7 linked regions of the Callithrix jacchus genome follow. The protein of the gene in region 3 interacts with the protein of the main gene of each other region in a pairwise test. Links are inferred from orthologs where the notes say so. Each region holds a gene or a part of one and is shown on either strand. Other genes may lie near its edges.

The links.
Region 1: the proteins of USHBP1 (region 3) and DTNB interact in binary tests that used the Homo sapiens proteins (3 or more experiments, as listed by UniProt). The two-hybrid records come from large-scale screens. The link is inferred for Callithrix jacchus from reciprocal best matches to the Homo sapiens genes USHBP1 and DTNB.
Region 2: the proteins of USHBP1 (region 3) and EXOC7 interact in binary tests that used the Homo sapiens proteins (3 or more experiments, as listed by UniProt). The two-hybrid records come from large-scale screens. The link is inferred for Callithrix jacchus from reciprocal best matches to the Homo sapiens genes USHBP1 and EXOC7.
Region 4: the proteins of USHBP1 (region 3) and CCDC116 interact in binary tests that used the Homo sapiens proteins (3 or more experiments, as listed by UniProt). The two-hybrid records come from large-scale screens. The link is inferred for Callithrix jacchus from reciprocal best matches to the Homo sapiens genes USHBP1 and CCDC116.
Region 5: the proteins of USHBP1 (region 3) and FBF1 interact in binary tests that used the Homo sapiens proteins (3 or more experiments, as listed by UniProt). The two-hybrid records come from large-scale screens. The link is inferred for Callithrix jacchus from reciprocal best matches to the Homo sapiens genes USHBP1 and FBF1.
Region 6: the proteins of USHBP1 (region 3) and DYDC1 interact in binary tests that used the Homo sapiens proteins (3 or more experiments, as listed by UniProt). The two-hybrid records come from large-scale screens. The link is inferred for Callithrix jacchus from reciprocal best matches to the Homo sapiens genes USHBP1 and DYDC1.
Region 7: the proteins of USHBP1 (region 3) and PARVG interact in binary tests that used the Homo sapiens proteins (3 or more experiments, as listed by UniProt). The two-hybrid records come from large-scale screens. The link is inferred for Callithrix jacchus from reciprocal best matches to the Homo sapiens genes USHBP1 and PARVG.

What each region holds. Positions count from the first base shown.
Region 1 is NC_133515.1:89,527,609-89,531,557, forward strand, and holds the start of DTNB (dystrobrevin beta), read left to right. Parts: upstream 1-1,149; 5' UTR 1,150-1,196; intron 1,197-3,949.
Region 2 is NC_133506.1:131,998,421-132,001,920, forward strand, and holds part of EXOC7 (exocyst complex component 7), read right to left. Parts: intron 2,765-3,500; coding exon 2,597-2,764; intron 1-2,596. UniProt on the Homo sapiens protein: Component of the exocyst complex involved in the docking of exocytic vesicles with fusion sites on the plasma membrane.
Region 3 is NC_133523.1:15,857,803-15,861,302, forward strand, and holds part of USHBP1 (harmonin-binding protein USHBP1), read right to left. Parts: intron 3,403-3,500; coding exon 3,262-3,402; intron 2,365-3,261; coding exon 2,191-2,364; intron 1-2,190.
Region 4 is NC_133502.1:193,600,867-193,603,860, reverse strand, and holds the end of CCDC116 (coiled-coil domain-containing protein 116), read right to left. Parts: coding exon 2,476-2,994; intron 1,367-2,475; coding exon 665-1,366; 3' UTR 501-664; downstream 1-500.
Region 5 is NC_133506.1:131,811,507-131,815,006, forward strand, and holds part of FBF1 (fas-binding factor 1), read right to left. Parts: intron 3,417-3,500; coding exon 3,261-3,416; intron 3,087-3,260; coding exon 2,986-3,086; intron 2,853-2,985; coding exon 2,646-2,852; intron 1,256-2,645; coding exon 1,148-1,255; intron 1,058-1,147; coding exon 918-1,057; intron 841-917; coding exon 722-840; intron 1-721. UniProt on the Homo sapiens protein: Keratin-binding protein required for epithelial cell polarization. Involved in apical junction complex (AJC) assembly via its interaction with PARD3. Required for ciliogenesis.
Region 6 is NC_133513.1:50,199,197-50,202,696, reverse strand, and holds part of DYDC1 (DPY30 domain-containing protein 1), read right to left. Parts: intron 3,064-3,500; exon of another isoform or gene 2,979-3,063; intron 2,661-2,978; 5' UTR 2,638-2,660; coding exon 2,491-2,637; intron 1,741-2,490; coding exon 1,639-1,740; intron 1-1,638. UniProt on the Homo sapiens protein: Functions as part of axonemal radial spoke complexes that play an important part in the motility of sperm and cilia. Plays a crucial role during acrosome biogenesis.
Region 7 is NC_133502.1:187,594,974-187,598,473, reverse strand, and holds part of PARVG (gamma-parvin), read left to right. Parts: intron 1-2; coding exon 3-61; intron 62-194; coding exon 195-263; intron 264-2,439; coding exon 2,440-2,541; intron 2,542-3,500. UniProt on the Homo sapiens protein: Plays a role with ILK in promoting the cell adhesion and spreading of leukocytes.

The sequences.
Region 1 (3,949 bases), on a different chromosome or scaffold from region 3:
ACTCTTTGTACAGCCAGAAACCCTTCAAATGATTAACTTTAACAAATGGGAGAAGCTCAGTGCTCCTCGACCCTGGCTACGCATTATATCACTTGGGGTCACTTAAAAAAATTCAGCCCAGGTGCAGTGGCTCATGCCTGGTCCTAGTGCTTTGGGAGGCTGAGGCCAGAGGATCTCCTGAGCCTAAGAGTTTGAGGCTGCAATGAGCAAGACTCTGTCTCTTAAAAAAAATTAGTTCCGCCAGGCGTGATGGCTCACGCCTAGAATCTCAGCGCTTTGGGAGACTGAGGCAGGTGGATCACGAGGTCAAGAGATCGAGACCATCCTGGTCTCGATCCAGGGTTTCACATGGTAAAACCCTGTCTCTACTAAAAATACAAAAATGAGCCGGGCATGGTGGCATTAGCCTGTAGTTCCAGCTACTCAGGAGGCTGAGGCAGGAGAATTTCTTGAACCCAGGAGGCGGAGGTTGCTGGGAGCTGAGATCGCGCCATTGCACTCCAGCCTGGGTAACAGGCTGGAAAAAAAAGATTAGTTCATCTAGATGAATTTTGGGTGCAGGTATATTTTCTCAAAAGCATACCAGGTGACAGGTATGTGAGAACAGCTTGAATTACCCTTGAGCCAGTTTAGAATGTTTTGTCAACATAGAATTTGTTGACATTTTCAGGTGTTTGACAACACTACATAAATAAACAAGCCTTTGATAAACTAACAAAACCTGTAGGACACTCTTCCTCGGACACTCTAGCCTCTGGATTGCCTTCTTGGGGTAATTCTTGGGATCTTTTGGGGTGCCATCAAGCCTCCTGCCTCGTGAGCTTTGCATGGTATGGCAGAATGATAGCTAATCACCCCTGTAATCCCAGCACCTGGAAAATATGACAGAAGTCTCGCTAGCTATCCAAGCCAGTCCAAATTTCAGCTTGACACCTAAGGACAGTTTTATTGAAGAATACAACTGCTGTTCCCGAGATAAATCTTAGAAAGCTTTGTCTTGAAAGGTTTTTCATGCAATTTGTCACAGGCTCTCATAATCCACAGGATGATACAGAGAGTAAAGATCAACACCACCATTAGCGCTGCCTCTCTTCCCCGCCCTCCGAATCCCACTCAGAGGTGTTCGAGCTGGTTTTCTGTGCCAGCTTCATTCCACATTTGGCCAAGACCGAGGACTCAGGCTTCAGCCTCTGGGGGTAAGGATTTCCACATTGTTATTTGCCATGCAAAATAGCAGTTCCTATTCATTTCTTCCAAATCTGCCTCTGTCAACACAGATGGCGCGCTACCCCGTACTGCTGGGACTGTGAGATTCGGCAACATTGTCTGTGTCCTGACTGTGCGGACCTTTGGCAGCCAAGCTATCACCATCCCCTGAAGGATGGATTTTGGTTTTTGTTTGCCTCCTGTGAAGGACCTTCTTTCTGCTAATCATTTGAATTACTCTCTCCTGGACCCCTTCCAGTCCTATCACGCCATCTGTAAATGGCAGAGAACAGAACGAGACACACATTATGGTGTCAATGTATAATAATTTGATACAAAGATGCGATTATGATGTTTTGTTTTGAGTATTGCTATCTGCACGTTCTTGGTTTTTTTGGTGGGATGGGGGTGGAGGTGGGAGAAGGAAGCTAGAAGCCAGAGCAGGCTGGACAGTGGATTTTATTTACAACTTTAAGGAATGGTTTTCAGGTTCATTAAATTGTTTTCCTTCAGCTGTTATTACCTTCCTCCTGCTCACACTGACACTCGGAGGGCAGGTGTCTGCCCTCCCACGCAGCTCGCTCACATCCTTCTGTAGCCTCCTCCCTGCCACTCTCAGCTCACTCACTACCTGGCACATGACCTTGGCGATTCCACCACGCATCTCTTCCCCAGATCATTTATCACTATGGTAATTAAGACTTGGATGTTCAGACTGTGGAATGAAAATAGAACAGGTTCTAGCACAGATTTTAAAAAATATTTTTCTTCCTGCCTCCAAAAAAGTACATGTTCATTTAAGACAGTTTGAAAATACAAACAAATGCAAAGAAAATTAAAATAATTCTTAATCCTATTACCCAGAGATAACTTCTTCAAATATTTTGGTTTATATTCATCCAGTCTTATTCAAGGAACACAGTAAACACACACTTTTTCCCTTTATCTTTGATAAATATTATATTTGATATATTCAAAGAATATATGTAACATTACACTCCCCCCACAAGAATCAAAACATTATAAACAATGGCAGTAATTGTCATTTACCTAAGTGCACCCCTTAGTCTCCCACTTCCTCTCATGGGGTGGGAGTATCATTCCCTTGCCTTATTTTTTTTCCCCTTGCCTTATTAAAGTAATTTTAGAAATTGTTTGTGTTTATTTGATTTTCAGCTTTGTAAAAATGGTAACATGCTATGAGTCATATGTTTCCTGCTTTTTTCACGAAGAAAAATGTTGGTTCAATTTATCCATGCTGTGTTATGCAAATGTTCTTTTATTTTTGCTGCTGTTTAATATTTCCACTGTGGAGATATACACATTTATACATTCATTTTTCTCTTGCTGGCCATTTGGATTGTTTTCATAAGTCTCAAGAACAGGCTGGGAGTGGTGGCTCATGCCTGTAATCCCAGCACTTTGGGAGGCTAAGGCAGGCAGATTGCCTGAGCTCATGAGTTCGAGACCAGCCTGGGCAACATGGTGAAACCCTGTCTCTATGACATACAAAAATTAGTTGGGCGTGCTCATGCACGCTTGTGATCCCAGCTACCCTGGATGCTGAGGCATGAGAATTGCTTGAACCTGGGAGGCAGAGGTTGCAGTGAGCCAAGATTATGCCACTTCACTCCAGCCTGGGTGACAGAGCGAGACTCTGCCTCCAAAAAAAAAAAGTACTAAGGACAGTGCAGTGATTGCACATTCCCCTTGGTGCATGCATGAAGAGTATCTTTGGGGTTGAATAGCTGGATATAAGGTAGGTAGAATTTCAACCTGTTAAATATTGGCAAAATGGTTGTACCAATTTATACTCTCACCATTACTGTATAGGAGTTTCCAATTGATTAGCCTTTTTTCCAACATTTGGAATTGTGAAACTTTAAAACTTGCCATGCTAGTAGGTGTACAACGTTGTAGTATTAATTTGCATTTTCCTGAATGCGAATGAAATGGAGGATCTTTTTCTATGTTTATTGACCATGTGTTTTCTCTTCCATAGAATGCTTGCTCCTTTTTCTATTGTGTTGTCTCCCACATTTTTTTTACTTTGAGTCAGAGTCTTGCTCTGTTGCCCAGGCTGGAGTGCCATGATGGATCTCAGCTCACCGCAACCTCCGCCTTTGGGTTTCAAGCAATTCTCCTACCTCAGCCTCCCAAGTAGCTGGGACTACAGGCATGCACCACCACGCCCAGCTAATTCTTAGCTTTTTTTTTGTATTTTTAGTAGAAACAGGGTTTTACCATGTTGGCCAGGCTGCTGTGGAACTCCTGACCTCAGGTGATTCAACTGACTCAGCCTCCCAAATTGCTGGGATTACAGGCATGAGCCACGATGCCTGGTCTCTCAAACATATTTTAAACAAAATTTGAGCCATACTACATATACCATTTTATATCATCTAAAACGTTCTTTTACAGTGTTATTTTAGTGATTTGGGACTCTTCTATCTCATAATTTAATCAGAGCTCTGTAAGTATTTTTTTAAATTTTGGTTTTGAGAAATAACTCTGGTAAGATATTCTATTGCATACATTTAATTACACATAACTGAATGTTTTAATAAAATAAGTTCTAAGAATTGAGATTTCTGAGCCTGGGAAACATGGTGAAACCCTGTCTCTACAAAAAAATACAAAAATTAGCTGGGCATAGAGGCATGTACCTGTAGTCTCAGCTGCTCGGGAGGCTCAGGTGGGAAGATTACCTGAGCCTGGGGAGGTCCAGGTTGCAGTGAGATAT
Region 2 (3,500 bases), on a different chromosome or scaffold from region 3:
CCTAGCCCACACACCAGAGTTCCCCAAACCACCAAAGACACAGGAAAAAATCCGAAAGCCAAGAAGGGTTAACAGAAGCCACCACACAGAGAGCCTGGAGGGTGCACTTGGAAGGAGAAGGTACATGCTCTTGGCATGGGGGAAAAAAACAAAAGTTAATATCACACGTGAAAACAATCAGAACAAAAACGGCAGTGCCCACAGCTGCCTGGGTCAGCCTCCTCTGTGGGAATGAGACATCTCAGGGCCAAAGACGTGGAGAAATCAACTCCCGTCTCAAACAGACCAGTGCAGCTGCCTTGTTAACAAAATGTATGGGAGAAGAAAGGCACCCAAGACGCCCCCGCCCCCCCATTGCCTATCTGAGCACAGTGAGGATGCTGCGTCCTGGCAGCTCCTCAGAAAGCTGAGGGAGGAAGGGGCAGTGTGTGGAGGCTCATTGCTTGCACCTGCACCGCACCGCGCCACACCACATCACACCACAATTAACTCTTTTTTTTCTTTTTCTGAGACAGAGTCTCGTCCTGTCACCCAGGCTGGAGTGCAGTGGCTCGATCTCAGCTCACTGCAACCTCTGCCTCCCGGGTTCAAACTATTCTCCTGCCTCAGCCTCCTGAGTAGCTGGAATTACAGGCATGTGCCACCATGCCCGGCTCATTTTTTTTTTCTATTTTTAATAGAGATGGAGTTTCACCATGTTGGCCAGGCTGGTCTCGAACTCCTGACCTCAGGTGATCCGCCTGCCTCAGCCTCCCAAAGTATTGGGATTACAGGCATGAGCCACCATACCCGGCTCACAATTAGCTCCTAATAACCAAGTCCCATGGCCTGGCTCACATCTGCCTTGCTCATTCTCTCCCCTTCAGCAAGCACGGCTCACTAAAGAGTGAATCTGAATCCTGTCCCACAACCCACCAGGAGCAGAGGCAGATGCACACCGGGGAGGATGTGGGTCAGTATGTGGATCTGGTAGGCACCAAACCCATCAGGCACCCAATTACCTCCAGGGATGCCGAGGTTGGTGCTTTACCTGGGAGGCACCCCTGCCCCTTTCCTTAGAAGTCCCTGGGGCTTGATTCCCTAGAGCCTGACATTAGTCCTGAGCCCACCAGTTCCTGACAACTCTTGAAACCCCACAGACCCCCACAGCCGGAGAGGTTTCCTCTTGTGTCTCTGGGGCAAGGATCGATGTCATCCACTGTGAGCTCCCTGAGATCAGATCCCTGCTGCATGGCCAGCGGGCACTCTTAGGGCAGTGCATATAGGGCTCTGGGGCCTCCCAGGGGCCAGTCACAGAACCAGGCAGAAGAGGAAGCCAGTGCAGACTAGCTGGGGCCCAAGCACCCTCGCAGCCTTATGGAGACAGCTGCCCCACGCCACACAGAAGACACAGAAATGCCCTGGCCGCCATTCGGCCAGCTGAGCCCAAAGGCTGGACTGGCAGTCCCTGTTGGCAGCAGGTTTTGTCTAGGTGGGCAGGATATCCACACTGGAGGGAGAAGGCCCCAGGCCCCAGCTCCCTAATGCTCTACTCACTTGTGCCTCTGAGAGCAGCCCCTGTTCTGCCCGTTTCTCCAAACCCTAAACAAAGGCCTGCAGGGGAGCAGGTGCTCTCTGAGGGGTGGGGCAGGTAGGAACCGGAGAAACCGAGGGTGTAAGTAAGCTCTACCCAAAGCCTGTTGTCACAAGAAGCAAGTCCCACAGCAACTAGGGCAGGTGCCTGCAGCAGCAGCTGGGCAGGGGGCCAGCCTGGGTGGGAGCAGCCCCAGCATCTCTGGCTTTCTCTCCCAGAGCAATCTCAGTCCCACCGAATAACCAAGTCCCCACTGGAACTTCCCAGCATCTCCTCAAGCTGCAGGAAGCATCTCTCAGTGGCAAGACCAGGCTTGCCAAGCTGTGGCTCACAGAGACGCTATTTACCTGGAGCACAGACTACAAGAGACATGATGCCAGTGAGAAAGAACAGAGAGATGATGAGATGTTCACCCAGGACAGCGACAGCTCTGCCCAGGCCTCTCATCGTGGTGCCCCTTTCCACAAGGCCTGACTCACACTGGAGCCCAAAGCCAGTTTAAGTTCTTCTGAGAGGATGCTCTGGGGTTTCTTTCCTTTCTGGATTGACCGGGAAAGTGAAATTCTCCCCATCCAGCTCTCAGCTAAACGTCACTTCAGGTCACCCTGCTTTTCTGGAAGGTGAAGGTTAGAGCGCCTGTCCCCTTGCTATCCCAGCATCCTTTCTGGCTGCAGCAGTGTGCCAGGCCTCCTGACAGGACGATGTGTGTGTGAGGGAGGGGGTCCAGGCAGGGGCTCTGCCCTGGAGGCCTCTGCAGCCTGTCTCAGATGGGATTAACTGAGGACCTGTAAGCCCCCCACTACAAAGAAGCTGTGTAACCCCCAGGCTCTGCCAGCTGGAAGGAAGAGCCTCACTCTTGGGGGGCCTCACTGGGTGGGAAGACACTTGCTTTCTGTCCTGTGTACCTATAGTCGGGGTTACCATGACAACAAATTCTGGAGGAATCTGATGCTGCGAATGCTAGACTGGACAAAAGCAGTGCAGGCCCCAGTCAGCCTCTGGGTGTGGCAGATGGGGGCTCACCTGGCCGCTTGACTGGCTTCTTGGTAGGTGTGTCTTTCCTCTTGTTGGGGATAGCAGGGGAGTAGGGAACCCCAGAGGAAGAACTGCTCTTATGGAAATGCTCCTTCAGGCCCTTGATGGAGCGGTCCAGCTGGCTGGAGCGTATCTGGTAGTAGACGTTCATGAAATCTAAGGAGACACAGAGCGATAGAGGTGTGGTTGCCAGGCCCTGCCCTTCCTTGCAGACCTGCCATATCTACCTGTCAACCCTTCCTAGCATCTGCTCTCCATTCTGGGTCACAAGCCACCCACATCTTGTCCCAAATCAGGCCGTCTTTCAAAGTTTTTTTTTTTGAGACAGGGTCTTTCTCTATTGCCCAGGCTGGAGTGCAGTAGCACCATCATGGCTCACTGCAGGCTCCACCTCCTGGGCTCAAGCAATCTGCCCACTTCAGCCTCCTAGAGTGCTGGGATTACAGGTATGAGACACTGCATCCAGCCAGGCAAAGTCTCAAAAGAGAAAAATACCCTTTAATAGAACTGATAATTAGTTGTAAGGTTTTTTTTTGTTTTGTTTTTGAGACAGGGTCTTACTCTATTGCCCAGACTAAGTGCAGTGGTGTGATCTCGGCACACTACAACCTCTACCTCCCAGGCTCAAGCAATTCTCCTGCCTCAGCCTCTTGAGTAGCTGGGATTGTAGGCACATGCCACTACCACCTGGCTATTTTTGTATTTTTTAGTAGAGATGGGGTTTCACCATGTTGACTAGGCTCAACTTGAACTCCTGACCTCAAATGATCCACCCACCTCAGCCTCCTAAAGTGCTGGGATTACAGGCATGAGCCACCTTGCCCAGCCCTAGTTGTAAGTTTTGAATGGTACTTTTTTTAAAAAAAGTAAAAAACATAAAGTTAACATCCAG
Region 3 (3,500 bases):
CCTACGCAACAGAGTGAGAATCCATCTTGATAAAAAATTAGCTGGTCTTCAGTGAGGATGTGTGTTAATAAAAATAAAAAAATAGCTGGACATGGTGTTACATACCTGCAGTCTCAGCTACTTGAGGGGCGGAAAGCAGGAGACTGAATGAGACCAGGAGTTTGAGGCTGCAGTGAGCTATGATGGCACCACTGTATTGCAGCCTGGGTGACAGAGCAAGACCCTGTCTCCAACAAAATGTTAAAAAGAAACAAGCAGGCCGGGCGCGGCGGCTCATGCCTATAAGCACTTTGGGAGGCCGAGGCAGGTGGATCACAAGGTTAAGAGATCGAGACCATTCTGGCCAACAAGGTGAAACCCCGTCTCTATTAAAAATACAAAAATTAGCTGGGCATGGTGGCACGTGCCTGTAATCCCAGCTACTCAGGAGGCTGAGGCAGGAGAATTGCCTGAACCCAGGAGGCGGAGGTTGCGGTGAGCCGAGACCGCACCATTGCACTCCAGCCTGGGTAACAAGAGCGAAACTCCGTCTCAAAAAAGAAACAAGCAAACAAAAAAGAACGTGGTGAGCCGGGCACGGTGGCTCACGCCTGTAATCTCAGCGCTTTGGGAGGCCGAGGCGGGTGGATCACCTGAGGTCAGGAGTTCGAGACCAGCCTGGACAACATGGCGAAACACTGTCTCTACTAAAAATCCAAAAATCAGGCAGGCGTGGTGGCAGGCGCCTGCAATCCCAGCTACTTGGGAGGTTGAGGCAGAAGAATCACTTGAACCTGAGGGGTGGAGGTTGCAGTCAGCCGAGATCGTGTCACTGCACTCCAGCCTGGGTGACAAGAACAAAACTCGGTCTCAAAAACAAGAAAAAGAAAGAAAGAAAGAAAACATGGTGGGTTCCATTACAACAACCCGCTAGACACCGCTGCTCATGCCACCTTGCTGGACACCATCACGCCAACCCAATGGGCACCAGCACCTAGATTGTCAACCCTGCGCAGCAGGACCAGGACAACCCTACTAAGCACCATCATGCCAGTTCTTTCTTTATTTTTTCAAGACAGGGTCTCACTGGGCGCGGTGGCTCACACCTGTAATCACAGCACTTTGGGAGGCTGAGGCGGGTGGATCATCTGAGGTTGGGAGTTCAAGACTGGCCTGACCAACATGGAGAAACCCTGTCTCTACTAAAAATATAAAATTAGCCGAGCATGGTGGCAGGCGCCTGTAGTCCCAGCTACTCAGGAGGCTGAGGCAGGAGAATCGCTTGAACAGGAGGCAGAGGTTGCAGTGAGCTGAGATCGCACCACTGCACTCCAGTCTGGGCAACAAGAGTGAAACTCTATCTTAAAAAAAAAAAAAAAAGAGGCCGAGCACAGTAGCTCAAGCCTGTAATCCCAGCACTTTGGGAGGCTGAGGCGGGTGGATCACAAGGTCAAGAGATCGAGACCATCCTGGCCAACATGGTGAAACCCCGTCTCTACTAAAAATACGAAAATTAGCTGGGCGTGGTGGCATGTGCCTGTAGTCCCAGCTACTCGGGAGGCTGAGGCAGGAGAATTGCTTGAACCCGGGAGGCGGAGGTTGCAGTGAGATTGTTCCACTGCACTCCAGCCTGGCGCCTGGTGACAAAGTGAGACTCTGTCTCAAAAAAATAAAAAAAAGATAGGGTGTCACCCTGTCTCCCAGGTTGGACTGCAGTGGCGCAATCTCAGCTCACTGTAGCCTCCACCTCCCAGACTCAAGCCATCCTCCCACCTCAGCCTCCCAAGTAGCTGGGATTACACGGGCACACCACCACACCCAGCTAATTTATTTGTACTTTTGGTAGAGAAGAGCTTTCTCCATGTTACAAGGGCTGGTCTTGAACTCCTGAGCTCAAGGGATCTGCCTGCCTTGGCCTCCCGAAGTGCTGGGATTACGGGCATGAGCCACTCTGCCCAGATCTAACCAGTAGGCATCATCATCCATCTTCACGCCAACTGCAATGTCTGTCAACCACCATGCCAACCTTGCCAAGTAGCAACAGGCCAACTGCAGCTGGGTGTCCTGTCAGCCAACCACAGGGAGTTCCATACGGACCTTGCTGGACTCAGCCACCCCAAGACCCCAAACGTGGTGGACTGTGGGAGCCCCATACCCCCGTCAAGATCCCACTCATCAACCAGCCTAGTTCCCAGGGTTCCCCGGGGGTACCTTGGCTGTGGATTCTGCAGTGCCCCTGCGTCCACGGTGGTCTCCTCTTGTGCCAGCAGCCTCCATGCTTCCTTTTCAGCTGCCTGCAGGTCACCCATGGGGGCTTCGGCTCCTGCTCCTGAGTCGGCCTCCCGCAGAGCAAGCAGGACCCTGTATGCCTCCTCACAATGCTCACTGTAGGACACTGGTTCTGAGTACTTTTGGACACTCAGCTCGGCTGGGTGCAGTGGCCCTCGCCTGTAGTCCCAGCACTTTGGGAGGCCAGAGCGGGAGGATCACCTGAAGTCAGGAGTTCAAGACCAGCCTGGCCAACATGGTGAAAGCCTGTCTCTACTAAAAATACAAAGATTAGCCAGGTACGGGGGTGCACACTTGTAGTTCCAGCTCCTCAGGAGGCTGAGGCACTAGAATCACTTGAACCCGGAGGCAGAGGCTGGAGCGAGCCAAGATCGCACCACTGCACTCCAGCCTGGGTGACAGAGCAAGACTCCATCTCAAAAAAAAAAAAAAAAGAACACTCAGCTCCATCTCAGCCTATAGGTGCCAGTCCCCACTTGCTCTTGAATCTCTCTCTTCTCCCCACTGCCCTCACCTCTGGAAGCATGCAGACTCCTTTAGCACCCCTGAACTAAAATTGCCTTAAATTAATTTCTGGGCTTGTCGTGGTGGCTCACACCAGTCATCCCAGCACTTTGGGAGGCCGAGGTGGGTGGATCATGAGGTCAGGAGTTCGAGACCAGCCTGGTCAACATGGTGAAACCCCATCTCTACTAAAAACACAAAAATTAGCAGGCATGATGGTGCTCGCCTGTAATCCCAGCTACTCAGGAGGCTGAGACATGAGAATCATTTGAACCCAGCAGGCAAAGGTTGGAGTGAGCTGAGATCTTGCCACTGCACTCCAGCCTGGGTGACAGAGCAAGACTCTGTCTCAGACAAAAACAAAATTAATTTCTGAAGTAGTGGAAGGTGCTTTCCAGTGAGGGTCCTGTTGCCCTCTGTGGATTGGGACCATCCTCAGAAAGCCCATTCCCTCCCCAGCTGGTGACATCACTGGCAGGGTGCACTGACCTGTACTGCAAGGCCAGATGCAATGCTGTGGCCTCAGCCTCCCGCTGACCCAGCTGCATGCTGAGGCCCTCACAACGGCCCTTGTATCCCTGGAGCACAGCTGATAGCAGACGGTTAAAGCATTTGAGCTTCTCAATGTTCCTGTCCCACAGGTGGTGAAGAGGGAAAGTCACAGGCCCTCTAAGGTAGTCAGGCCTCAATTTCCACCCTTTCCCTCCCTCCTGTTGCAGCTCCAGACT
Region 4 (2,994 bases), on a different chromosome or scaffold from region 3:
ATACCTGGCTAATTTTTGTATTTAGTAGAGACGGGGTTTCATCATATTGCCCAGGCTGGTCTCCAACTCCTGGCCTCGAGTGATCTGCCCACATCAGCCTCTCAAAGTGTTGGGATTACAGGCATGAGCCTGGCCAACACTTCCTCTTAAAAATAGGTAAACAAGCCGGGCACAGTGGCTCATGCCTATAATCCCAGCACTTTGGGAGGCCGAGGTGGGTGGATCACAAGGTCAAGAGATCGAGACCATCCTGGTCAACAAGGTGAAACCCCATCTCTACTAAAAATACAAAAATTAGCTGGGCATGGTGGCGCGTGCCTATAGTCCCAGCTACTCAGGAGGCTGAGGCAGGAGAATTGCTTGAACCCAGGAGGCAGAGGTTGCGGTGAGCGGAGATCTCACCGTTGTACTCCAGCCTGGGTAACAACAGCGAAACTCCGTCTCAAAAAAAAAAAAAAAAATAGGTAAACAAACAAATAAATGAAATGGAGGCTGAAATCTCAGGACAAGAAACCTGTGTCTCAGCAACACAGGCTATATTGCTATATCTTTCACTGGCTCCCCTGAGAGTCTCAGCAGAGCTCCTTGTGGGCATTCAGCCCAGGGGCTGGTGTGATGAGCAGCAACTCTGACAGAGCAAGGAATCAAGTGGCCAGTGGGGACCTCAAGATGGGTCACTGTGGCCCAGGTCCACAGGGTGGCTGACCGAGGCCTCCTCTCCAGGCTCTGGGAGGCTCTGGACTCCACTCTCATCCCTGTCCTCATCCTGCTCCTCATCCTCATCCTCATTTTCATCTTCAAGCTCGACCTTATCATGGCCCTCACTGTCCATGTCCTTGGACCTGGGGGGACTGGAACCCATGCCGGTGTGGGCAGACACTGAGAGCCTGGGCTCCAATGGGCTGAGCTGTTGGCTGGCTGGCAAGTCGGTGTAAAGAGAGTGGCAGGGCTCTGTGGTCTGGTCCTGGACGGTGTGGGTGGCCAGCTCCTGCAGCACAGAGGGCGTCTCTGGGCTGCGGTGGAAGGTGCTGAGCAAGAAGTCCTGCTGGGCCCTTTTGGCCTCCTCCAGCTTACGCAGCAGGCAGCTCAGATGGATCTCCGAGGACTGGTGGTTATGGGAGCCTTTCACCTTCTTTAAGCCCAGGGAAAGGTCCCTGAGCACTTGGGTGACGGGGAAGGAGAAGAAGCCCAGCTGCTTATTGAGGTCCTTTTCAAACTCATACTTTCGGATGATCAGGGAGGCTGCCTGCTGGGTGAGGAAGTCAACGAGCTCCTCGTAAGAGCAGTTGGAGAAGTGGGACATGCTGGACTTTGACGAGATGGAGGGCAGTAGCTTCTTCTTTGTGAACCTGCTGCTGCTGGGGCTCTGCATAGCAGCCGGGGAGGGAAAAGGACACATGTCACACCTGGGGGCCCCATCCCTCCTGCCATCCAGTGACATCCCTCCCAACCACGTGCCCTCCTCTGAGCCCTGCCAACCCTACCCATCACAAACATGATTGGGCATACTTGGTGTGACAAACAAACTTGTTACACGAAGGGTACAGCCTTGCCACATCTGCTATGCCGTCGCACTCAGCTGCCCACTCTGCTCACCTCACTATCACACCTCCTACACCTGTTGGGCCTGGGGCAAGGGCAGGGACCTGTCACAGGGTGAGCCTAATCTGAGCCTTGACAACCGGGTTCCAGCAGGCTCCCGCCCAGGCCTGTGCTCAGAGAGAAGCCTGCAGGGGCCTTGATGGCTTAGGAAAGAGTTGAGGGACTATGCTAGAGACCCACCAGGGTGAGGCCACCCACGTCTTGTACACATCCTCCGTGGGCAACTTCCCCTCGGCAAACTACAGCGACTGGAGAGTCCTGCTCAAGGCAGCTGGATTCGAGGGAGCTAGACCTCGGAGGCAAGGCCCTGGCCCGGCTAGGGCAGCTGTCCAGAAGAGACAGGGCCCTTCACCTCCAAGTAGGAGGGTCTCTGAGATTCATAAACAAACATTAGAAAAATACCCAGCATAAAAAATGGCCTTTATTCATCTGTGATAACACCTGGTAGCAGCTAGGCCAGGATTCCTGGGCTCCCATCAGCTTGGTCCCTGCCCGGGAGATTTCCACAGTGCCGGGCAAGAGATCTTGAATACCTGCCAGTGCCAGTGACAGTGGCTGCTAGGAGTGGTGGGCCAGGGAACCCTTCTGCAAACTCATGCCTGGTCCTACTTTCGAGGAGGTCACCTCCAGACACTGAGGCGGGAGATGAGGAGGCAACTGAGGAGAGCTTGGGGGGAAAGGAGCAGGAAGAGTGGGGATGGGGAAGGCAAGCGGAGGTGTGACAGGGCCCCTGAGGTGGCCCTGGCTGCAATCCACCTCCACCACAATTCCGGGGGCAGGCAGAGTGAGGTGCAGGCCCTGCCAGGGCTTGGCCCTCCGGCTGGAGCTCAGGGAAACAGGTGGGTTTTGTAATTTGGGATCTGAGTCAGGCACCTCTTTCCTGGAGTGGAGTGAGGAACTGGGGACACTGGGCTTCTCCATGGGTGTCATCTTGAGCTTGAATCTGGTGGCCACCTGGGCGCTAGACATGGAGGGATAGCCTCCTCTGTCCTTGTGTTTTCTGTGACGCAGCTTGGGGCTGGAGGCTGTGGGATGGGGGGAAGCATGGGGCTGTCCCGTGTTGCTGGGATTGGCCGGCTCAGAGCCTGGAGGCTGCAGATTGCCCTGTCCGGGCAGCTCTGAGGTGGGCTCCAAGCTGGTGGGGAACAGAGGGTGGCCGTCACAGCAGCAGGCACCACGGAGCTTGTCCGTAGCCCGACTGACCACGCTCTGCAGGGCGGGGAAGAGGCGGTGCTCAGCCAGGAAGTTCAGCGTGCGGTGGGGCTCACGGAGTGGACAGTAGCCAGGCAGGTCGAGGGACTCCAGCTGGCTCAGTAACGACTTCAGCTCCTTATTGAACTCTTGCTTGTGGAAGATTCGCTCCCGTTCTCCATGCCTCAGCTCTGATGCTTC
Region 5 (3,500 bases), on a different chromosome or scaffold from region 3:
ATGAAACATTGATTGGCCATTATTAATACCCAATTTTTTTCAAAATAAAGCAATATTTCCATTTACTCTCCCTCTTTCTCTTCCTCTCCTTTACTTATTTTTTTTTCTTTTCTTTCCTTCTCTCAAAAAAAAAAAAAAAAGAGATGGGCTCTCACTATGTTGCTTAAGCTGGTCTCAAATTCTTGGACTTAAGTGATCCTCCTGCCTCAGCTCCCCAAGTAGCTGCGATTACAGGCACAGGCCACCATGCCTGGATGAGGTTATTATTATTTAATTAAAGTGTGTGCTTATATATGAAAGGTATTTAGGGAGTTCAAATGTCTGTTAGAGCTGAAGAGGCTAGGATAACATTTAACAGGCAAGAGCATCTGTCCGAATGTCACAGGGCTTGGGTAAGGGGACAGCTCTGAGTGCAGCTGATGGTTGCAGGGTTTAGACTGTGGAGCAAGGCCAGGGTGGCTGAGGGACTTGCGGTGGTGAGGAGCAGGCAGAGCGTAGTGGGGGCCTGGCCAGGTGGCGCCTGTGTGCTCAGGTGGGCAATGCTGAGGGCCTGGCCGGGACAGGGAGACGCAGAGGCAGGAAGTAGCAGGGAGGATGCCCACAGGAGAGTCAAGCCCCGGCGCTGACCTCTGAGGAGGTGAGGTCAGGAGAGTGTCGCCACACCTGCGGGTGCCCTGGAGGAGAGGCCCCATGGCAGGAGGGCCAGGAGGATGGGCCTCACCTGCTCCAGCAGCTGGCTCTGCTCACTCAGCCGCGCCTCCATCTTCCCGATGACCTCCTGCTGCCAGCTCCGCTCCTCCTCCATGTCCCGCTGCTGCTGGCCCAGCCGCTCCTGCAGTGCTGGGGACAACCCACAGGGTGCTGGCAACTGCTCCTCTTCCCACCAGGGGTCTGGGGGTCTGAGAGGGAGGGCGTACCCCGCAGCTGCTCGTCCCGCTGCCGGATCCCCAGCTCCCGCTCCTGGGAGTTGGTGAGATGTGAGGCCTCCATGCGGTAGGACAGCTCCTGCAGGCTGCTGGAGAACTTCTCCATCTGGTGGATGATGCTATTCAGGGACCTGAAAGGAGGCTGGGTCACCACCTCCTGAAAGCCTCGGGACCCCCCAGCCCCCACCCTTAGGCGGGCACAGTTGGGGCAGCACACATACCATGTGTGGGAGGTGGTGCTGGTGGCCGCATCGACCTCTCGGTCTTTCAGCAGCTTCAGCCGCTGCAGCTGCTCCTCGTGGTCTCTGCGCATCTCCAGGATGGATGCCCTGTGGGGAAGTGGAAGGGGAAGGCCCACAGCCAATCTGAGCAGGACCACCCAGACACAGCAGCTCCTTGTGGAAGGGCATGCTTCGAAGCAGCCCTTGCTCCCAGGCCTCTCTTCCTCTGGGCACTGCCTCAGTTTCCCCAGCTCCTCTGTCTTATCTGTCATGGTGCCTCAATGCTACATGCACTAAGATGGAGATTACTCCAGTTATTCAGCAAAGAGCACTTTACATAGAGCCATGTGTGCACTTCTTTTGAGTCTGGCCAACCTGAGCTGTCTTTCTTTCTTTTCTTTTTTCCTTTTTGTAGACATGAGATCTCGCTATATTGCCCAGGCTGGTCTTGAACTCCTAGCCTCAAGCAATCCTCCTGCCTTCGCCTCCCAAAGTAGTTTTTTTTTTTTTTTTTTTTTTTTAATTCTTTTAGAGACAGGGTTTTGTTCTGTGGTCCCAGCTGGAGTGCAGCGGCATAATCAAAGCTCACTGCAGCCTGACGTCTTGGGCCCAAGGTATCTTCCACCTCAACCTCCCAAGTCACGATCATGCCCAGCTAATTTAAAAACTGTTTTTAGATACAAGGTCTCGTTGTGTTGCCCAGGCTGGTCTCAAACTCCTGGCCTCAAGTGATCCTCCCATCTTGGCCTCCCAAAGTGCTGATTATTACAGGTGTGAGCCACTGTGCCTGGCCCTGAGCTCTGAGTCAGGCATGGTGGCAGCTCATGCCTGTAAACCCAGTACTTTGGGAGGCTGAGGTGGGCAGATCATGAGCTCAGGAGTTCAAGACCAGCCTGGCCAACATGGTGAAACCCCATCTCACCTAAAAATACAAAAATTAGCCAGGCATGGTGGTGGGCGCCTGTAGTCCCAGCTACTTTGGGGGCTGAGGCAGGAGAATTGCTTTAACCCAGGAGGCATAGTTTGCAGTGAGCCGAGATCGTGCTACTGTGCTCCAGTCTGGGTGACAGAGTGAGACCTCTGACTCCCTTAGATAACTTCTTAGCTTCCTTCTCTTCTATAAAGGCAACCCTATCAACATGGCAGGCACAACAGTGCAAGCCTTTCCCAGGCAGACCTCATCTCTAGCCTCTACTGCGTGAGCTGGTGAGTGGATTACCCTGTGCTTAGTTAGGCCCTGGGGGGCTTGCTGCTGCCATGCGGTGCGTGGACAGCCTGTGGATACCGCATCCTGCCTCTGTAAGAGCAGGTGGCACTCCACCCATGTGTGTAATGGGTCAGTCTGCCCAGCCCTCAGTCCTCACTCATTGGGCTGGGAGGGAAGGGCTCAAATCCCTGTCCAAGGGCTGCTGAGCCACAGCAGAGGGTCTCGTGAGGATGGCTGCCTTCTGGCCAGTCCTTGCAAGCCCATCCCCAACTGCCTGTCCCTGGGCCTCACCGCTGCAGCTCCCGGAGCCGCTCCATTTCCTGGTCCTTCTCCTGTGCTGCAGCTGCCAAGCGCCGCTGGTACTGGGCGGTGAGCTCAGCACGGGCCTGCTCGGCCTCCTGGCAGTGCGACAGATACCGAGCTGACAGCTCCTCGTTCTCTCTCCGGAGACGCTCCTCCCGCTGCTGGTACGATATTTCTAGCACCTTGATGTGGCTTCTGCCAACAGTACACCCAGCCATGGCATGAGGAAGGTAGAGGGCTGCCACCTAAAGGCCTCTCCAAGCACACTGGGGTGGCCTTTGAGGTCAGCGAGAGAGTCAAGGCAGAGCTGGGGCTGGTGCTGGGGTACCTGTGTGCATTCTCGATGAGCTCCAGGTCTGCCTGGTTTTGCTGCTGCAGACTCCCCAGCAGCAGCTCACGCTGGGCCCGTTCCAGCTCCAGCTTCCGCACCTGGGAGACGGCAGGAGGGCCAGCGATTAGGGAGGGGAGGTGGCTGTGCTCTACGCTGCCCTGTGCCAACAGCCCCTCCTTCCTCCTGGGGATGCTTCCCGATACTCTCAGTCTCTCGGTGACCCCTCCCGTCACAACTTTGCCCCCAATGCCAGCAACCCCGCTGCCACTCACCTGGGCCTCCAGCTCTGCCAGCCGGGCTTGGCTCTGCAGCAGCGCAGCCTGGAGCTCTGCGGTGCTGCTCTGAAGCTTCACCTGTGCTGCCAGGAGCTGCTTCTGGTATTCTGTGCCTGGCAGCAGGCTCAGGGCCAGGGACTCTGGGAGCAGGGGCTGTAGGAGAGGATGAGAGGTGTTCTTGGTTAGGGAGGGACGGACCCAGCTGGGATCAGCTACCTCCTGGATCTCTGCTCACTG
Region 6 (3,500 bases), on a different chromosome or scaffold from region 3:
TTTTCAACAGCCCTATCCTTCTAAGGTGCCTGCAGTTTTCTACCTCAATATCAGGAATAGGAAGTTAGAGAAGCTATTTGCCAAGTCTGTATTTTTCTTTTTACCCACATACGCAAACAATAGGCTTCTTTCCCCTTTTTAAATATGTAAATTTGAGTTAAGACTCTGGAGTTAAGTATTATCTGGTAGAACTATAGAAGTGGCTTAAATTTCACTTAGAAGCTCTCTATAAATTAAATCAGTCTATAAGCCACTCTGGAACTTTCCTCTCTCCAGCCTGTACTACACGAACCGTTCCTTCAGCAATTCCCTAACCAATATCTTCAGCTCCCTAATCACACTACCCCAATCCTGCTTCACTCAAAAGGTCTGCCTGCTTCCACTTCTTCACTCAGACATCTGGGCCTAAATGAAAAGAATCACATAATCACATAATCAAACCAAATGGCATGATTATCAGTGCTTGGTCTCCAACTGCCACCAAGTAATGCCAAATTTCTTTTTGGTTTTTTGTTTGTTTTTTGAGCTGAAGTCTTGTCTGGTTGCCAGGCTGGAGTGCAGTGGTGCAATCTCAGCTCACTGCAACCTCCACCTCCCGAGTTCAAGCAATCCTCCTGCCTCAGCTTCCCTAGTAGCTGGGACTACAGGAGAGGGCTGCCACACCCTAATTTTGGATTTTGTATTTTTAATAGAGATGGGTTTCACTATGTTGGTCAGGCTGGTCTCGAACTCCTGACCTCGTGATCCCTCTCAGCCTCCCAAAGTGCTGGGATTACAGGCATGAGCCACCATGCCTGCCCACTGCTAAATTTTATCCCTCAACTCTCATTCTCCAAAGCTGCCATTTCTAACCTTTACCACTCTGTCCACACCTCCTACCTTACAACCTCATTCTTAGCAGATGATCACGGTGCCTACTTCATAAAGAAGATAGAAACAGCTGTACATAGAAGATGCTTCCACCAACACCATTCTCTCCTCTTTCCCTCAATTATAATCAAAGAAGTGCCTTCTGCCTGCCTAATCTATGTTCCAGGCCCCATTTCCTCTCATCTCCATGACAAGCTGACCCTACGAATCATCCACTCTATTTCCTAATGTCACCCACTCACTCCACTACTGTGCTCTTAAATCAAAACAAACACAAAAACATCCCTCCTTGCTCTCAAAATCTCCTTGAAAGCATTGCCTACATGTTTCATCTCCCCTGCCTAACTCCACCCACCCCAACCACTCCATTCACACTGTTCCTGCCAAATTACAGTGGCCTGTAATGAACACTTTCCCATTCAGCAATAGATATGGTTGACCACTCAGATGTCACAAAAACACTCTTTCTCTTTGCCTTCTGTGACAGTGCATTCTCTGTATTCTCTTCTTACCTGGAGGTATGCCATCTTTTGTATCAGCAACAGCAGTGTGGAAAGGAATGTGTATGTGTGTATACATGAATACAGTCAGAAAAACTCAGGGCTGCTACTTCTCCAGCAAAGAAGACACACACATCCATAAAGATAAAGATATTAGGAAGCCATATTTAAGTAACTGGAGCTGGGAAGTTTATCAGCATTTGGGTTGTGACATGCTGAGGTTGGCATCGTAATTCCACTCCCCTCTGAACTCTCCTACTTGCCTCACCTGCTGAAATAAGAGCTCCTCTGCTTTGAGCCTCTCCATCATTTCCTGCTCCATCAGAGCTAATTCTCTTTCACACTCCAGCTCAGCCATTTCCTTTTGTCTCTAGCATTGTTTAAAAACAACAGCACGTGACTTCTTAGAGAGAAAAGCAATCTTGAAAGCACTTAATAGGGACAATTAGGGAAAGGGTTAAGCAAATTATAGCCCATCCCTTTTGAAACTAAATAATAATTTGGGAAAATATTTTATCTGAATAATGAGCACAACATTAAAGTTACACATTGTGTATTTTTTTTTTTTTTTTTGAGATGGAGTTTCGCTCTTGTTACCCAGGCTGGAGTGCAATGGTGCGATTGGCTCACTGCAACCTCCACCTCCTGGTTTCAGGCAATTCTCCTGCCTCAGCCTCCCGAGTAGCTGGGATCACAGGCACGCACCACCATGCCCAGCTAATTTTTTGTATTTTTAGTAGAGACGGGGTTTCACCATGTTGACCAGGATGGTCTCGATCTCTCGACCTTGTGATCCACCCGCCTCGGCCTCCCAAAGTGCTGGGATTACAGGCGTGAGCCACCGCGCCCAGCCACACATTGTGTATTATCACAAGTACATAAACATAAATCTATAAATCTATAGAAAAAGACTTCCCATGAAAGGAATTACCTAAAAATCTAAATAGAAGGCTTCTTTGGGTACTGTTTTCTCCTTCCTACTTTTCATGTTGTTCGAGTTTTCATATAATAAACATTATTTTTATAACAGAAAAATAAAAATATTAAACTTTTTAAGAAGCAGACAAGTTGGACCAGTTATTTTTCGCTTCTAATTTCCTAGAAGGAGATTCCTACTTACCAGTTGTTCCATGGTCACATTTTCCTTAAACTTGTAAATCCACAATGCCAAATATTCTATTGGATCCGCTGGGTGAACTTTTGCCACTTCTGCAAGACCTTGAGTTAAACACGTCCCAAAGTGCTTTTGAAGATATATTGACTCCATTTCTAACTCCTAAATAAAAACTCCTAAAAAGTAAGTGTTTTTGCATTACCGCAGTATCTTCAATAAAGTCACTATATGACTAAAGTTCGGTGAGGTGAACAAAGCATGACACCCTACCCTCAGTCATGGACCCCTCCCACTGTGGGTGCCAAAAGCAAGCTGGTCCCAGGAAACTTCTAGTAGTTTCCAAAAGGGCTCCACAGAAGTCACTACAACTAAAATGGTTTCAAAATCCTGAAGGACTCTCAAGTCCAAGAGTCAGAAAAGAGATATTATTACTATTGATTTCAGGAATACTTGATGCCAAGTAATGTGAGTCTCATTTAATCCTCGCAACATACCTGAAAAGTGGGTATCACGATCTCAATGGGAAGATGAGCAAGCCCAGGCACAAAGAGCATCAGAGCACAGTTCAGGATCACACAGCTGGCAGATGAAGGAGATAGGGTTTGTACCCACCTCTTGATTCCAAAACCCTAACCCTAAAGACTATACTAAAATGTTCCTTCTAAACCATGAGAGCCATTTTTACAAAGCATCACAATAGTCCACCTTTTGAAAAAAAAAATCCATTAATTTTCCGAGGCCAAAGAAGAAAAACTCAACCTCCAAATAATAACGTATGAAGCTCCTCACAATCTGGCCCCAATTTTCTTTTGAGGTTCAACTCCAGACATCATCTCTCCAGCACACCCTGGCCTCTCTAACTCCGTGGACATCCTGCCATTCTGATGATGACGCCTTGCACATTTCCATCTCCATGACTCTTGTACATGATGACCCCTCACTCTCTCTCCTCTCTCTCTCTGTCACTCTTTCTCTCTCAGAAAAGATCTCCTCCCCTGCCAGGTAGAGAATCATTT
Region 7 (3,500 bases), on a different chromosome or scaffold from region 3:
AGAGGACATCTTTGATGAATTATTTAAGCTGGCTCCGGAGAAAGTGAATGCAGTGAAAGAGGTAGGAGAGATCAAACCTCTCAGCAGCTCTCAGGCCGCCCACCCCACCCACTGCCCACCTGCGCTGTAGGAGGGAATCACGGGTCCTTGTGCCACACCTGCGGCATGCTAGGCCCTTGTTCTTCCTTGGTTAGGCCATCGTGAACTTTGTCAACCAGAAGCTGGACCGCCTGGGCCTGTCTGTGCAGAATCTGGACACCCAGGTAGGGACTCAGTGGTGGCATCTCCAGGCAGGGCAGGGCCACTGACCCTAGGAAGGAAAGGGTCTGTGCACCCCAGGAACCCGCTGTGTGGTGGTGGGGGTTGCATCGCCTCTTGGAGCCTCAGGTTCCCCCTCCTCAGTGTGACTGCTGCTGGCAGGCAGCACTGGCCACCAGGGACACAGCAGGATCCCGGGGGCGGGGGCGTGGGAACACTTCACCAAGCTGGAGTCACCTCGGCTGTCACTGCTTCTCATTGTTATAATTTTATTTCATAATTAATCTTAGCCTAGCCCATGCCCAGACTTGAAGCACATGAGTCTTCCCTGCGTGGTTGTGTTCGCCCAAACAGAATTTATTAGGTTTGTGCCATGTGCCAGGCGTAGGTGACAACGCAGCCCCACTGTCTGCAGGCTCTGCATCTCTCATGAGCACCCTGAGGAGCCCAGCCCTCCCCTGGCTGCCTTAGGCTGAATCGTCCCAGGAGCAGGAGCAGGAGCAGGAGCAGAATACTGGGGGTCAGCACTGACCGTGGGCTGTGGCTTTCCACAATGGCACTGTGCCTGCAATGCAAGGGATGGGGGCAGACGAGCAGAGTGGCTAACTGCCAGCCTGGCACCTGCAGAGTGGGCATGGAGTCTGCTGGATGCCAGTGGCCTCAATGGGACATGACGTAGGCATCTAGCCACCTGGCTTCTGCTAGGTGCTGGGGCCTGGGGCGGGGAGGGAGTCTGGTCCCAGATGGACCAACTGGCTCATGAAAAAAGTAGCCAGAGCTGCTGACCTTTCAGAGAGGCTCTGGATGGGCATCGGCTGGGGAGGAATGGGGCGATGTACTCCCACTCCCAGTAGCTAAAAGCAATAAAGCCCTTACTAGATGCCAGTCCCCCAGCAAAATGCTTCCTATATTAACTCATTGAATTCTTCCCCAAATCCCCTGAAGTGGGAACTGTATTACCTCACTTACAAAGGAGGATGTTAAGGCACAGAGGGGATAATTAACTTGTCTAAGATCACACAGTGATATGTAGTGGATCTGGGATTTGAACCCAGGCAGCTGGGGCCAGAGTTTGTGCTTATAACCACCTCACATGTGGCCACGTAAGAAGTTTATGTGTTATATGGTATGGCAGCATGGCAGGGTGGAAATACCAGGCTTTGAAGCCAGACAGACACACATTTCCCTCCTGCCTCCACCAGTGATGGTCCCTGGGCTCTGCTGACACCCCTCCACGTTTGCTGTGTGACCTTGGGTGAGTTACTGGTCTTCTCTGAACCTCAGGCTCCTCTTATAAAGTGGGTACAAGATGACAACCTCATAGAATTATAGGTGGTACATGAGCCAGTGAGCCTCATATGTTTGGTCTATTACTTGGCACGCTGCCAGCATGAAATAAATGAGAGATTTGCAGTTTTATATTTTATGTGGGTATAAACAGGATGATTTCTGAGATTTACATATTACCTATTCCATCTTTATCTCTCCCTTGGTAAAATAACGGCTTTGGATACTCATGGCATGTGCCAAGTTGGTATTTAGAGACTGTTCAATAAAGCAGGGGAAGGAAGTCCCTTGCATTCCCGTTGTATTACCGAGGAATAATGGCAGAAAAGATTTCAGGCCCAAACTAATAACATTGAAACAGTAATAGGAGGAAATTCCATTAAGGGCTTTGAATGGCGGTTTCTTCCAATATCCCATCCTGTGTTTTGTATCTTTGAAGAGACTCAATAGGATTATATTAGCATATGATATGCTGGTGGTAGGGACGACAGCTTTATCTCAGAACAGACAGAAATATTAATATGGCAACTGGCAAGATGGGCCCCGTGTGCCGCTCTCTGCCTTTCCCTGATGGAATAATTTTACGCATAACTCTGTTTTCCCATGTTTCTGTAGCTTGTGGAACAGCGTGGTGTTTAAAAACTGGTATGAGGCTATTCTATAGCAAGTTTAGGAAACACTCTTTTTACTGAGCAAACACTATGTACCAGGCAGCCTGAAATCGCATTTTACTTGCAACCCTGTGAGGCCAGGAAAGTCTTCCCCACTTCTCACCAAGGAACCAGAGGCTCAGAGAAGTTGTGTGATTTCCTTAGGACCACACAGCCTGTAAAAGACAGAGTGGACCTCCCCAGGCTTCTTCCATGTGATGGTCTCCCGTTCCTTCCTTTGTAGTTTGCAGATGGGGTCATCTTACTCTTGTTGATTGGACAACTTGAAGGCTTCTTCCTGCACTTAAAGGAATTCTACCTCACACCCAACTCTCCTGCAGAAATGGTAAGTTCTCCAAAGATTCTTGATTGTCTACCTCTGGGTGAACAGATAAACAGAAATGACATGACACGTGTGTTTATTCAGTTCCAGGTGAAGTGAAGGTGTAGGGGAAGCTTGTTTAGCTATGTCTACCTGTCCATCCATCCATCCACCCATTCACCTATGCATCCATCCATCATCTACTATCTATTCATTCCCATCTGCCCATCTACCTATTATCACTTCTGTTCACCTACCAAGCTACACCCGCCATCTATGCACCCATCCATCTACCTGCCCCCCCGTTCATCCACCTACCTGCCTGTCCATGCACCTGTTTTCCTGTGTGTTTATTCATCTACCTAGTCCATCCATCTATCCATCCATCCATCCATCCATCCATCCATCCATCCATCCATCCACCCATTCACCTATCCATCCACCAACATACCTATCCATCCACCCACTCATCCATCCATCCATCCACCTATATACCTATCCATCCATCCACCCACCCATCCATCTACCCATCCACCTATCCATTTATCTATCCATCCAGCCACCCACCCACCCACCTGTCCATCTACCTGCCTGCCTGTCTACCCACACATAGGAAGTTTGTTTATGTATATGTCTTTCTGGCCATCCATCCATTCATCCATCCACTTGCCTACCTGTCCATTCACCTGCTTCCCCATTCATGCATCCATATGGCTGTGCTCCAGTCCATCTTCCCATTCTGTTGATTTATGCACCCAATCCATCCATACACCTGCCTGCCCATCTACCCACCTGCTTATCTACCCATCTCCTACCCACACATCTGTTCCCTCATTCCCTGAAGGCCTGCTTAGTGCCAGCCCCAAGCTGCACGGGACATTAAGATGATTCAACGCAGCTCCTCATTTCAGGGACCTCTTCATCTATGCTCACTGTTCTCCCAGTGACGTGTGCTCTTGCAGGACCACAGTGAAATGTGTTGG